3 linked regions of the Xenopus tropicalis genome follow. The protein of the gene in region 1 interacts with the protein of each later gene in a pairwise test. Links are inferred from orthologs where the notes say so. Each region holds a gene or a part of one and is shown on either strand. Other genes may lie near its edges. The genes, in order: ndufaf3, snrpa and ndufaf4.

Region 1 (3,944 bases):
TTGCATCTATGCCATGAGAAAAAAGGAGAACCTTCCCTCGGGTGGCATTTACCAGGGGGTGGCAGAAATGTACTTGTATAAGGTGGGGGTGGCAGCCAGGGGCACTGATGCCATGAGGTGAGTTGAGATATTTGCCTCAGGTGGCAGCGGCCCGCAACTTACCAGGGGTAGCAAAAACAGGCACAGGCAATGTATTTTTTCTCTACCTACAGGGCACTTGTAGTTTTGTAATATATTTTTTATCCCTGCCTGCACTTAGAGCGTGGTAACTGTCTGAAAACCATGACATGCCACATTTTCTTTTGCTTGTGGGAATCTGCAGCCTTAGGCAGCCACATACACACAATAAATAGTGACTGTCTATGGAATCTTAGGGTCCCCATACAAGGGCCAATTCTATCTGCCGATATCGGTCCCTTAGACCGACTCGGCAGCTTATCGGCCCGTGTAAGTGCACTAACGACAGGCCTGCCTGACTGATATCTGGCCTGAAATCAGACAGATATAGATCAGGCAGGTTTGAAAATTTAGTCGGATCGGGGACTGTTAGCTCGCTGATGTGGTCCCCGAACCAACTGCGACTGCGCCTATGCCTGTCGTTCTAATTTGATCTTTTGGCCCCAGGGCCAAATGACTGAATTAGCCCGATATCACCCACCCATAGGTGGGGATATAGGGAGAAGAGCCGCTCGTTTGGTGGCCTTGGTGGCTTGGTTTTTCGCATATACATAAAAAACAGATGGCATCAGCAGAGGTATCATTTGGGGCAGAAGTTTGTCTAAGGCAGGTCTGGACTGGGATTCAAAGCCCTGGCATCTCAATTACTGGCATTTGCCAGAATCCACAGGTTGCCATTTGGGGCCTAGACTGGTGGGTCCAGTCAGAATCAGCCATATAACTGAGCCATATTTGGTGTGTACAGCCGTGATGGGACGGTCCCCTTTAAGATTCCTAAAGAAATATGTTTTCACAACACAAACTTCCCGCCCTTACAGCAACCAGTGCGTCCCGCAGCAATTCCCATAACATCCTACTTATAATGCAGGCACACTAACTGGCCACTAGATGGGGCGCTGTATGAAGTGATGCGGGAGTAAAGGCCGGTCTCTATGGTAGGTATCGGTGCCGGGCGGCCATGCTGTATGTACAAGGGCATGAATACACTGTGAGACTGTGGCATTGCTTCTCTCCGGTAGGTTATCGCTGGGGTGTGTGGCCGGGTCTGTGATACACGGTGTAGGGATCCTAGTCTAGGGGAGGAACGGGTGTAGGGTGGGACAGAATGAGTATTTACCCTGGGTCCCAAGGTTTATAGGGGGCACAGCCATGAGTGATGTAAACTATGACTCCCAGGATCCTCCAAAAGCCTTAATTCAACTATAGTTCAGCAACACTTTTCTGCAAAATGGACACCCCTAATTTATTGTGAATATAGCTCCAGATGAGACTGGGGTTATACCGCCATACAGCTACATAGCCAGGGGTACAGGCCAAGCCATTCAGTGATTCCTCAGGGATGTGCCCTCTGGCCACTCAGCCCTGCCCTTGGCTCTGGCACAGGGAATCCCAGCTGCAAGTTATATGGCTGTGCCAACTCATGGCATTATAGGGGCACAATACACACACATTCAGCTTTGTCAGCACAAACAGGATACATTGAACTGACACTTGCATTCTTCCTATTTTATTACCTTAACAAAAAGTACAAATTCTATTTCTTTTTCATTATAATGAGTTACAAGATGATTGTTGGGTTGTTTTACTCCCTCCTCAATGTAATGGGATGAGTTACAAAGGAAAACTGCAATGTATACAGACCTGCTCCTATATATAATAGATTTCTCCCGTTGTCCCTGCCAGGTTGTGTGATTAATGTATGAACTGCTTTTATTCACAGGCCTCTGTGATCCCAACAGACTGCTATGGCTCTCTCAGCAGCACTCAGGCTTCAGTCTCTGCGCTCTCTGGCCCCTCACTGCAAGCTCTTTGCATCTGCTCTCCAATCACACACACAGTAAGTATGGCACAGTGGGGCTCATTCATACACACATGGCACATTTGCACCAGGGCAGTAACCCATAGCAACCAATCTGTCATTAGATTTTTCCAGCCAGCTGCAGGGAGAACACGAAACGCAAACTTCTGATTGGTGGTCATGGGATACTGCCCAGGTGCAAATTTGCTCAGTGTTTTTAAATGCCACAGTAAGTAACAAATGCATACAATGTGTTGCTGCAAAAAAATGCAGTTTAATGGTTCAGGTTGTGTCTTAAGGTGCCCATACACGTGAAGATTCACTCGCTTTGCTCTGATCTTCACCTGATATCCCCACCTACGGGTGGACGATATCGGGGAACATATAGGCTAATAATGGTGGCAATGGGGCAGTCGGTTCGACTGAATCTTTTAACCTGCCCGATCATTATCTGGCCAATTTCAGGCCAGGTATCGATCGGGTCGTTTCTGCTCCTACACGGGCTGATAAGCTGCCGAATCAGTCCAAAGGATCGATATCAGCAGCTACAATCAGCCCATGTATAGGGACCTATAGCAAAGAAGCACCATTTTGTTTCCCAGGGCTAGTGCAGTGCAAATGTGTGATATTTCAATATGGGTTACTAGACTGGGGCAGCGTTTGCTCATGTGACGCAGTTTTTTGTGCCTAATTCAAGATTCAAATAACTTTATTAATCCCAAAGGGAAATTGCTTATGCTCGGTTACAGATGCTCACAGTTATCTAATAAATAAATAAAAAACCTCCGTAAAACAGTAAGTATCAACTTTATAGGAATGATAATACATTATGGCTCAGATCAGGCCCAGACTGAGGTTCAAAATAGGCCCTGGCATTCCAAGTACACATAGGCCCAAACAGCCCGCCCCCAGCCCAATAAATAGTGAGTGTCTATGGCATCTTACAGCAGCCCCTCTGGCATTTGCCAGAACCCACAGATTGCCAGTCCGGGCCTTTCTGCTGTAGGAACAGGAGTCACTTGGAGACCACCAAAGCAGGATTTTGGGTTATATAGCAGATTCTCAGTGCTGCCCCAGGGAAAGCACTGAGTCTACAGTATATCACAAAGTATTATTTGATTGTAGGTGGGAAAGTATATGTCCCTAAGTGACCCAGCGGTAAATAATGATCACTTCTAGAAGTTTCTTATGATACAGTGCAGTATGATGGTGGGTGATATTCCATTCAAATGTATATATGGGCAACGTGCATTCCTCCAGATTGTTATACCAATTGCCCTTAATCTGGTGACTCTACTTTGCTTGCAGGCAGCCATGCCGGTCTCACCGCCTTGCTCCAACAGACGACGAACTCTATCAGAGAACCACTGTTACCCGCCTAGAGAGAGACTCTGCGGAGTTCATGTTTATTGAGACTTACAGCTCACAGGGGTTCATTATTAATGGGGACAAAGTAGTGGGCCCGTGTGCTGTCATTCCGAAGGCCATCCTGCAGTGGAACGTGAGTGGGAATTTGCTTCATCCCAGTGTGACCAGCTGTCCTCCCAAACTGCTTGCACTGTGCAAATGACTATCCAGTATGCATGCATTGTCCTGGAGGGATTATTTTGAGGTTACAGTATGTGTGAGCAGGTTGGGGGATTAAACTGGGAAGTAACATACCTTTAGACACACTCCCCCATATGTAATAAGAGGCACTAAGTTTTTCTTGGAGTAGTAACCCATAGCAACCAATAAGATGTTTGCTTTTAAACAGGTAACTTCTACTTGCTGATTGGTTGCTATGGGTTACTGCTCCTGGGCAAACTTAGTGCCTTTTATTACATGACCCCCAGTGTGATTAATTCAACTACAGTCTGGAACTGAAACTGTTCTCTCAGGTTCCCTTTGTCCAATGTTTATAGTGTATAGATCAGAAAGCATTCAGTGTGACAAATATGTAATTATATGAGAATTCCAGCAGGGGGCA
Region 2 (4,012 bases), on another chromosome or scaffold:
GACAAGGGTGTTTTTATGCAACTACGACAGTGTACAACAGTTATATTTTGTGCAATACTTACTGGTTAAACAGCATAGATAGCATTAGCTCATTTGTTTCCTCTGGAAGGTTGGTGAGGAAGAGGATGTGGTTAGGTGGGTTTTCAGAAATCTAAAAAAAAATAAAAAACAGCATTCAAAGTTATGACTGAAAAACTCAGACACAGGCAGTTTCTGTGGACAGCTCTTGAAAGACACCAGGTTTATTGGGAGTTGCCAGTATATTAAAGGAGATGTATCCTATAAAAATAATGAATGTACCAGTGAATTTTACTCCTCTAGATATAGAAGGATTGCGCTTAAAAAAGTTGTGCTTCTGGCAGGGACCATTAGGAAACGCCCACTCTTCATTTTAAACATGGTCAGAAGAGAGGATCTATAGGGAGCTCCAATAAAGGGGCCATTTTTACAGATTGGATTAATTTTAAGCACAAAGGGAAACCAGCACCATATATTATTCATAATTGCCTACAATATTAGGGTTTTCCCCATTTATCCAATATGTCTCCTTTAAGCACCGCACCCCCTCCCCCGAAAGCTGCAAAGAATAGTTAAGCTAGCAGACATCAGGTACTCTTTATAAAAGCTAGCGAGACTATCACCCACAGACAGATCTGGTGATGTAGTCTAACTTACTGGCTGCATGGGTGCCATCTGCCCAGGCATCAGGTGTCCATGGGGCATGCCTCCTGGTGGGATCTGTCCTGGTGCCATCCCTGGTGGTGGCATCATACCAGGGTGATGCATGTAGGGTGCCTGCCCAGCCATATGCATCATGCGTGGAGCTTGAGTCATACCAGGTATATTTTGCATGCCCTAAAAAATAAATAAAATTATGGCTGTGCACAACATAACGGGTTTCTTTCAAGAAAAAAAAAAAATTGTATGTATTTACCGCCATCTGTCCTGGAACGCCTGGAAGCAACGCAGCACCTGGTAAAGCCTTTTTAACACCCGGAGCTTCCTGGCCTTTCACCTTCCTCTTCTCCTGCCTCTTTCTGTCTCTTTCCACATAGGTACCTTTCATTTTGGCAATGATGTCAGAATCGGATTTTGAATATTGTATTCTCTGGAGTAAAAGCAAAATCAGCATAAAGACTAAAATAACCAAGTTTTAATGGAATGGGAGGAGATACTGTATGGAAACTGAACAGAATGTATCCACCACCACCCTACCCAACTTGGCTTTATAGTTCTTTTTTTCTAAAGAAATAATGAGCACAGATAAACAAACAAGCCATATATTTAATTGCACTGGGTGTGGGATTCCTTTAGCAACAATGTGCACAGCTATCCATGCAAACTACCTAAGCAGATGTAAACTCCCACACATTCACAAGTATTAACCCAGGAGCCCTGTAAAAATATTATGAAGGATGGTTATTGAAGATGTTATTAACTTATGTACAATATCCTTTTCAATATGGGAGTGCATAGTTTCTTCTCAACCCCTCAATGAAAATTAGCATACACCCCAAATATGCACGTACAAAGGTATGTTTACTTTATAGGCAGGGGGATTTGGAAAATTGTTTCTAGTCCTTTAATCTGCCAGTAAGATGGTATATACACCCATGTCCTTTCATATAAATATATGGGTCATTCCACTGTCACTGACCATTTTTCCATAAAGTGTCAGATATCATTCATGTCTCTATAACCATAGACTTATCCTAAAAGAACACTTTGAAGTAAAGTAAATGAAAAATGGGAAAAAAACTACAATAAATACTAACCATTGGTTTATCATAAAAGGGAAACCCCTGCATTGACCTCAGAGCATTTGTGGCACTGCTTATTTCTTTAAATATAACAAAAGCCTGTCCTCTCATCTTCAGGCTGCGAGACACCAAGATATCCAGAATCTGACCAAACTGTGAGAATATGGCATAAAGAGACTTCTTTAGCTCTAAAGAGAAGAAAGCAAAAGTCAAATCTTTGGATTTTCAAAGACCAAGTAATTCTAAATAGCACTAAATTGCAGTAATGTAAACACTGGTACAGAGATTTAGGTTGCGCTCCAGGGATTGCTACAGCCTTAACTCACCATCTTTTTTAATTTTCTCATTCAGGTTGTTGATGTAGATTGTGTTATTAGGCCTGACTTCTTGAACAGCCATACTTCCTCAACAACTTAATCTGAAGGGAGAAAAAAAGGGTTAATTGCATCTTAAAATAGAACAATGCCCTGGTATAGTCTGTACATAAGCCCAGTTATGTATGAGCAGAGTGTGCATATAATATACCAGTGCCTATACTACACGCAGACTTATTTACTTGTGCAAACTAAGGTCTACAATATATTTTCCTTTGCGAGCCATATAGTAGTAACATAGTATTATTAGTATTATCAACACCCAGATCATAACAAAACTACACAGCCCCTGACACAGCCATGCAAAGAACACAGGGTAACATTAAAGTTGAAATATCACAGCCGGGACCTGATTGTGAGAGGCCCGTAGTTGTTGTGGCACAGCTAGGAAGCGGGAAGATATAACAATGAACGGGACGGAAGCATACTTACCCTCAGCCTGGATATGATACAGTTAAAAGGGCCGCCAAATTAAACGCTGGGCTTGTGCTACGATACGAATACGGTACGCTGGAAAAGAAATAAACTTCCCGGATGGAACGTACAATAGCAGGAAATATTTCAAGATAGCAACGCAAGTCGCATGCACTAAAACCCAATGTGATTAACTGAGATTGCCGCCACCGGAAGGCCTTGTACCTAAATTCATTCAACGCCCAATTTACGTCTAACTTAGGCCGCGTTGCTACAGCAACTCTCGACGTCTTGCAGGTATATCATTGGTGACCTACCCAAATCTTCATCGATTGGCTGCAAGCCATAAGTGAAAGCCATTTCACCCTATAGCAATAACCCAAAGCAAGCCGCGCGACCAATGAAATCGGAGGCCGAGGCGTAGAACGCGGTGCAGCTGCTAATATATTCCTCCCGGAAACAGGAAACGGACTCCTGCGGCATACGTGACTATATTGTTTTGCTATTGTTGTAGGTGTTCGTGAATATGATTTCATGGCGTTTATAGCTTAGGTGATAGTTTTCAAGATACTATCGTTGGCAATTAAAATGAATAAATTAACCTGTACAGATGAACAAGGGGATACATATATGGTTTAGTACACACGTGGTCAAAGAATGTTTCCGAACTGAAGCCGGATCTGGTAGTTTTTTTCACCAACATGCTATAAAGTACGGTGTCAGATCTTGTTTACAACCTGTAGCTAAATCTGCAATGTAAGGTTTAGAAACGACATATTCCTCAGCGTCTCGGAAAATGTTTAATCTCTCACACAATCCCTCCCAGTAGCAACACAATTTCATCTCCGTGCAATGGCATTACTAGAATTACAGGGACCCAAAGTCAAGTCTTTTTAGAACCCCAAATTTGTATTAAAATGATCTGTTTAATGCGCCTGTAATAAAATAGATTTTCAGTTAGGACTTCCTTGGGGAGTTGATACAATGACCTGTTGCTTTGAATTGCTAGGAAGTGACACCCACAGTTCAGGGTCAGAGTAGAGAATTTAGCAAGGTCAAGATCTATTTTTACAGTAACCAGACCAGGGGCAATGGGTCACTGCAATAGCTTGCATTTTGCACCCCAGTTCTGTCCAAAGGCTGCAAAAAGGTGTTCATAGCACAATTTGCAGGGGCAGGTATAGAGACTGAATTTGCTACTTGAACTGCAAAGCTCAGAATCCTCCTTGCAAGATATTTGCTTGGAATTGTATATTTGCCATAGTTCTGGTGACAATATTTTGATATCCACTACTGAGGCCTAAATATCACATACTAATAGAATGTGGGCTATATAGTCTTTGCCTATATATTGCAAAGTATACTATATAATAATGCTTGAGGAACCCACAGACTCCAGACTGCTCTTCCCTGTACTAATTGCCAGTGTAGTAGTCTGGTTATGAGTAGTAAAGTATCTGGAGT
Region 3 (4,278 bases), on another chromosome or scaffold:
ACAATGTAAAGAAAACACATACACAAACACACTACTAGCACGATTAAAAAGTGCCTGTGCGTGTCAGTTTCCTTTAAAAGGTAAACTTTTAGTATGTTATAGACATACTAAACATATTGCAACCTTCTTAACAACCTTTCAACTGGTCTTTATTTATTTTCTTTAATAGTTTTTGAAAATGTATCTTATCTCTAATAAAACTACCCAATACCTAAAACAGATTGACGGAATCTGTAACCAATTGGATTATGCACAGCACTGCTCTTTCCTAGCCAAATGAAAACCCAAACTATAAAAGTTACATACTTCTGTCATAAACTGTAGCTTCAGGATACAGTGGTAAGCAGAGTTGCTGGTTTAACTACCAAATTATTTTTAAAAGGAGAAGGAAAGGCTAATAAAGAGTTAATCTCAAGCTGCAGGCATACATTCAGTTGTCTCAATAGTGCCCTTAAGTCTCCCCATATTTCACCTGTTCAGATGATCAGAAGCCAAACCGGAAGGAAAAACACTGAGCTGTGTAAAGAAAGTTCCCATAATGCCTCACTCCTGCACAGACACCCAGACCAAGTGAACATGCTCAGTTAGTTAGACTATGAGTCAGCTTCCTGCTGATTGGCTCAGATCCACATTCCTATGGGGGGTGAGTGAGTTCTTAGCATTCTTGAGGGAGGGGGGAGCAGGAGAAAGCAGAGAGCAGAAAGCTGCATGTCTCTGGCACATGAATTACAGAAATCTTTTCACAGAGAAGTCAGCGCAGCATTTCTGTGAGTGCTTATGGCTGTATTTACATAGACCTTTCTGATAAAGCTTACTTAGTTTTTACCTTTCTTTCTCCTTTAAGCTGTTGAGGGTTTCCAAAGTACAAGCCTGGCAGTGTACCTAGCCCATCCCCCCCAGTGTATGTAGGGTAATGTAGTTTTTGTTTAACATTTTACCTACTGCCAAGGTCAATGCAAAACTACAATACTCAGCACAGGACTGACTGGTGTAGCAAGAACTTATCTACTCTTTGCAGCAGTTCTAGCCTTTCAGTTCTAACCTGACTGCATTACAAACTTCTCATTGATGCATCTGGTATGTGCTGCTACTTTGTAATGTGATGTGGGGGGTTAACATTTGATTCTGCAGTTGACCACTAAAATTATACCTCCTGGGGTTGCCGAGAGTTAAACTTAAACACAGCCATATATCGTGTCTGAGGGTTAATGCCATACTGTGAATCCACTTTTGCTGCATTACCTCCATACTGTAACGCTTTATGTGGAACATCCCTGATTTTTTATCATCCAGCCCACAGTTCTGGATTGTCTGTTGATGTCTTTGATTTCAGAGTTTTGCAAACTGAGGCTCTAATGACATTCTCCCACATTATATAAAGCATTGCTGCCAGGAGACTGAGAGCGAGGGGTGTATGGCTGGTTTGGGGAATGCAGTTAAGGCTACAACTGCGTCTTTCATGAAATGCTTCGGGGCCCACTGTATGCCATGAAGTGCTTAGCATGGTATGGGGGGGGTGGACAATTAATACACCCATTACGTGTTGGTGGGTATGCATGACCTACCTCTTTTATTAGTGATTTATATTTAAGAGTGCTGTTACTAATAAATTCTTCCATTCCCTGGATACTTGGATGGCTTATTGTAAGCTGAAGCTGGCAGCGTATGTTGAAGTAAAACTACAATAACCTGCATGTACCCTGCACATAAGGGCATAGCAATATCAGATATCCTAGTATCAGAAAGGTGGGCACAGGTAGCAATTCCAGACTTGTAAGGCCAAAGTGAAGGCATATTTTTCACATATAAATATTTTTTTTATTTGACTGGGTAAATTGTGCTATTTTGAAACTGCTTTTGAAACAGCTTTGTGACAGATTTTGGCTGGTTTTGAAAATTAGACCTAGCAACCCTGATGGTAACAAGGACACCCTTCGTAGCCCTATCTGAAAAAAACTAGCACCAGTAATGAAATACCTACAACAGCACCTTTTATATCACTATTGCTGACAGCTGAAGCTCAGACAACTGAATGCACCAAAATGCATAGCAAATGTTTTTCAAAGTATTTTCAGGGATCAGAGTTGTTCTACCAATTTGTCAGTTTACTGAGCTGGAATGCACTGGTTGAATCACAGACTACTTTGATTCATAATAATTTAGACTGTGGTACCTGGCTGCACTTGCTTTTAAGAGTCCAGAATAACTTTTTGGTTCTAATAAATGTACACTGCAGAATTAGAACATCTATCTGCCATGCCAGGCAACAAATGCAAGGATTCTTTGTGCAATGACTAGTATTTATCCAACTATAAATGTAACACAGGAAAGCGATACTACTAATAAAAATAAATGAGGCAGTAGCACAACCCTTCAGGGTTCCACATTAGAGACCTAACCCATAGGTCATGACCTCTAACCAATGAGAAGTGCAGAACTTTTGTTCCCAGCATGCCTTTCTCACACACAAGCTAACCTTGTCATACGGAGTGAACTGATCTTAGCTGCAGTCGCTCTAGTAAACATTTAAGAATATGTACTATGTGTATTTTATAAAGTATTTTTCTGTGTATAACGAAAAACAAAAGTTCACAAGCTACATAACTGGTACATAGGATGCAAATATAATATCGCTGTGTGTACAAGTCTCCCACCCATACTCACGTGTTTTGGTTGCCCTCACTGCATCCTCTGTTTTGGGGTGGGTGGGCGCCGGCCTCGGCTTCTCCTTGCCAATAAGCCTATGAGCCCGATTTTCAAGGTTAAAGTTCCGCATGGCTCGGGTTAATGATAGCCCCATGCCTGTGCATAGCGTGCCCGGCTAGCCGCGCTCTGTATAAGGACGAGAGCCAAGGGGCCTGACGTGCCGATATCCTGCTTGAAGCACGTAAGGAGCCAGAGGGGGCTGGGTGCCAGTACCAAGGTTGGGCGAGCGTCCTGCCCTCTCCTCCCCTTTAAAATCTCCAATATCCAAATCCTTGTCGGGCTTCTGTTGCTATGTGCTGACAGGTCCCCCCCTGCCCCATCGGAACTCCTCTGTGCTGCCTGCCATTTAAGTTGTGCAATCTGCTCTTAGTTTGTCCTGACAGATTCCTGCTTCCCCGTTTATCCAAGTCATCTCTGGGCGTTCCTCCATTGAACAGCCTCCATGTGACATCTACCCGGCTTGCCTGCATTCTAACGGCTGCACAGTCTTTGTCCTCCATCCACCTTGCTTTCTTATGCGACCCACCACCCCTTCCTTGCAAGGTGGAAGGATGTGTTATTCCCGATTCCCTTCCTTAAATACCATCCAACCGCTAAAGCAGTGCTGTCCAACTGGCGGCCCGCGACCCCCCTCTGTGTGGCCCCCCACCTGTCTGGCTGCTTTGATGGCTTACTCTTGTGTAAGCTTTAAATGGTATCAGTACTGTGATTAACTGGCCCCCTGCATGGTTCTCACCTCAGATTCAGGCTGTAATCAGGCTGTATTGTTTAAATATGTAATCCCCTGTGTTGTTCACACCTTTTAATCTCTGCATTGTTCACCCCCTGCAGTGTTCACACCTCAGGCTCAGGCTGTAATCACCCCATTGTTCCCCTGTTCACACCTCAGGAGCAGTAGAAACCCACAAATAATCCCTGCACACTACAAAAAGAACATATACTGAGGTGGTACTGCAATTAAAAAGTTTTTTAATATATAGTTATTGTGCAGACTGTAGGAGCAATGCCAGCATTGTGTCACTGTAGGCTGCCTGTGTGTGCCATATACACAGGCATCATAGGGCAAGCAGAGTATGGCACACGCAGGCAGGGTAGGGAAGGCAGAGTATGGCACACACAGGCAGGGTAGGGAAGGCAGAGTATGGCACACACAGGCAGGGTAGGGAAGGCAGAGTATGGCACACACAGGCCAAGTATGGCACAAACCAGCCAAGAATGGCAAACACAGTGAAAGTATGGCACATGCAGGCAGGGTAGGGAAGGCAGAGTATGGCACACACAGGCAGGGTAGGGCAGGCAGAGTATGGCACACACAGGCCAAGTATGGCACAAACCAGCCAAGTATGGCACACAGGCAGGGTAGGGAAGGCAGAGTATGGCACACACAGGCAGGGTAGGGAAGGCAGAGTATGGCACACACAGGCAGGGTAGGGCAGGCAGAGTATGGCAAGTTTTTGCTGTACTACAACCATTAATATGGGTATGGTCATGTGATAACATGGGTGTGGTTTCAAGTGGGTGCGGTTTCAAAAAGGGGAGTAGTCAAAACTGGCTTCCATTATCGGCCCTCCA

What was found.
Region 2: the proteins of ndufaf3 (region 1) and snrpa interact in binary tests that used the Homo sapiens proteins (3 or more experiments, as listed by UniProt). The two-hybrid records come from large-scale screens. The link is inferred for Xenopus tropicalis from reciprocal best matches to the Homo sapiens genes NDUFAF3 and SNRPA.
Region 3: the proteins of ndufaf3 (region 1) and ndufaf4 interact in binary tests that used the Homo sapiens proteins (3 or more experiments, as listed by UniProt). The two-hybrid records come from large-scale screens. The link is inferred for Xenopus tropicalis from reciprocal best matches to the Homo sapiens genes NDUFAF3 and NDUFAF4.

What each region holds. Positions count from the first base shown.
Region 1 is NC_030680.2:136,757,752-136,761,695, forward strand, and holds the start of ndufaf3 (NADH dehydrogenase [ubiquinone] 1 alpha subcomplex assembly factor 3), read left to right. Parts: upstream 1-1,144; 5' UTR 1,145-1,192; intron 1,193-1,897; 5' UTR 1,898-1,922; coding exon 1,923-2,014; intron 2,015-3,283; coding exon 3,284-3,476; intron 3,477-3,944. UniProt on the Homo sapiens protein: Essential factor for the assembly of mitochondrial NADH:ubiquinone oxidoreductase complex (complex I).
Region 2 is NC_030684.2:78,498,314-78,502,325, reverse strand, and holds the start of snrpa (U1 small nuclear ribonucleoprotein A), read right to left. Parts: upstream 2,801-4,012; 5' UTR 2,567-2,800; intron 2,506-2,566; exon of another isoform or gene 2,484-2,505; intron 2,179-2,483; 5' UTR 2,160-2,178; coding exon 2,087-2,159; intron 1,949-2,086; coding exon 1,776-1,948; intron 1,109-1,775; coding exon 935-1,108; intron 856-934; coding exon 676-855; intron 152-675; coding exon 63-151; intron 1-62. Other genes in the region: UPF0692 protein C19orf54 homolog, read left to right, coding at 3,159-3,231. UniProt on the Homo sapiens protein: Component of the spliceosomal U1 snRNP, which is essential for recognition of the pre-mRNA 5' splice-site and the subsequent assembly of the spliceosome. U1 snRNP is the first snRNP to interact with pre-mRNA.
Region 3 is NC_030681.2:88,491,610-88,495,887, forward strand, and holds the start of ndufaf4 (NADH dehydrogenase [ubiquinone] 1 alpha subcomplex assembly factor 4), read right to left. Parts: upstream 2,809-4,278; 5' UTR 2,801-2,808; coding exon 2,665-2,800; intron 1-2,664. UniProt on the Homo sapiens protein: Involved in the assembly of mitochondrial NADH:ubiquinone oxidoreductase complex (complex I). May be involved in cell proliferation and survival of hormone-dependent tumor cells. May be a regulator of breast tumor cell invasion.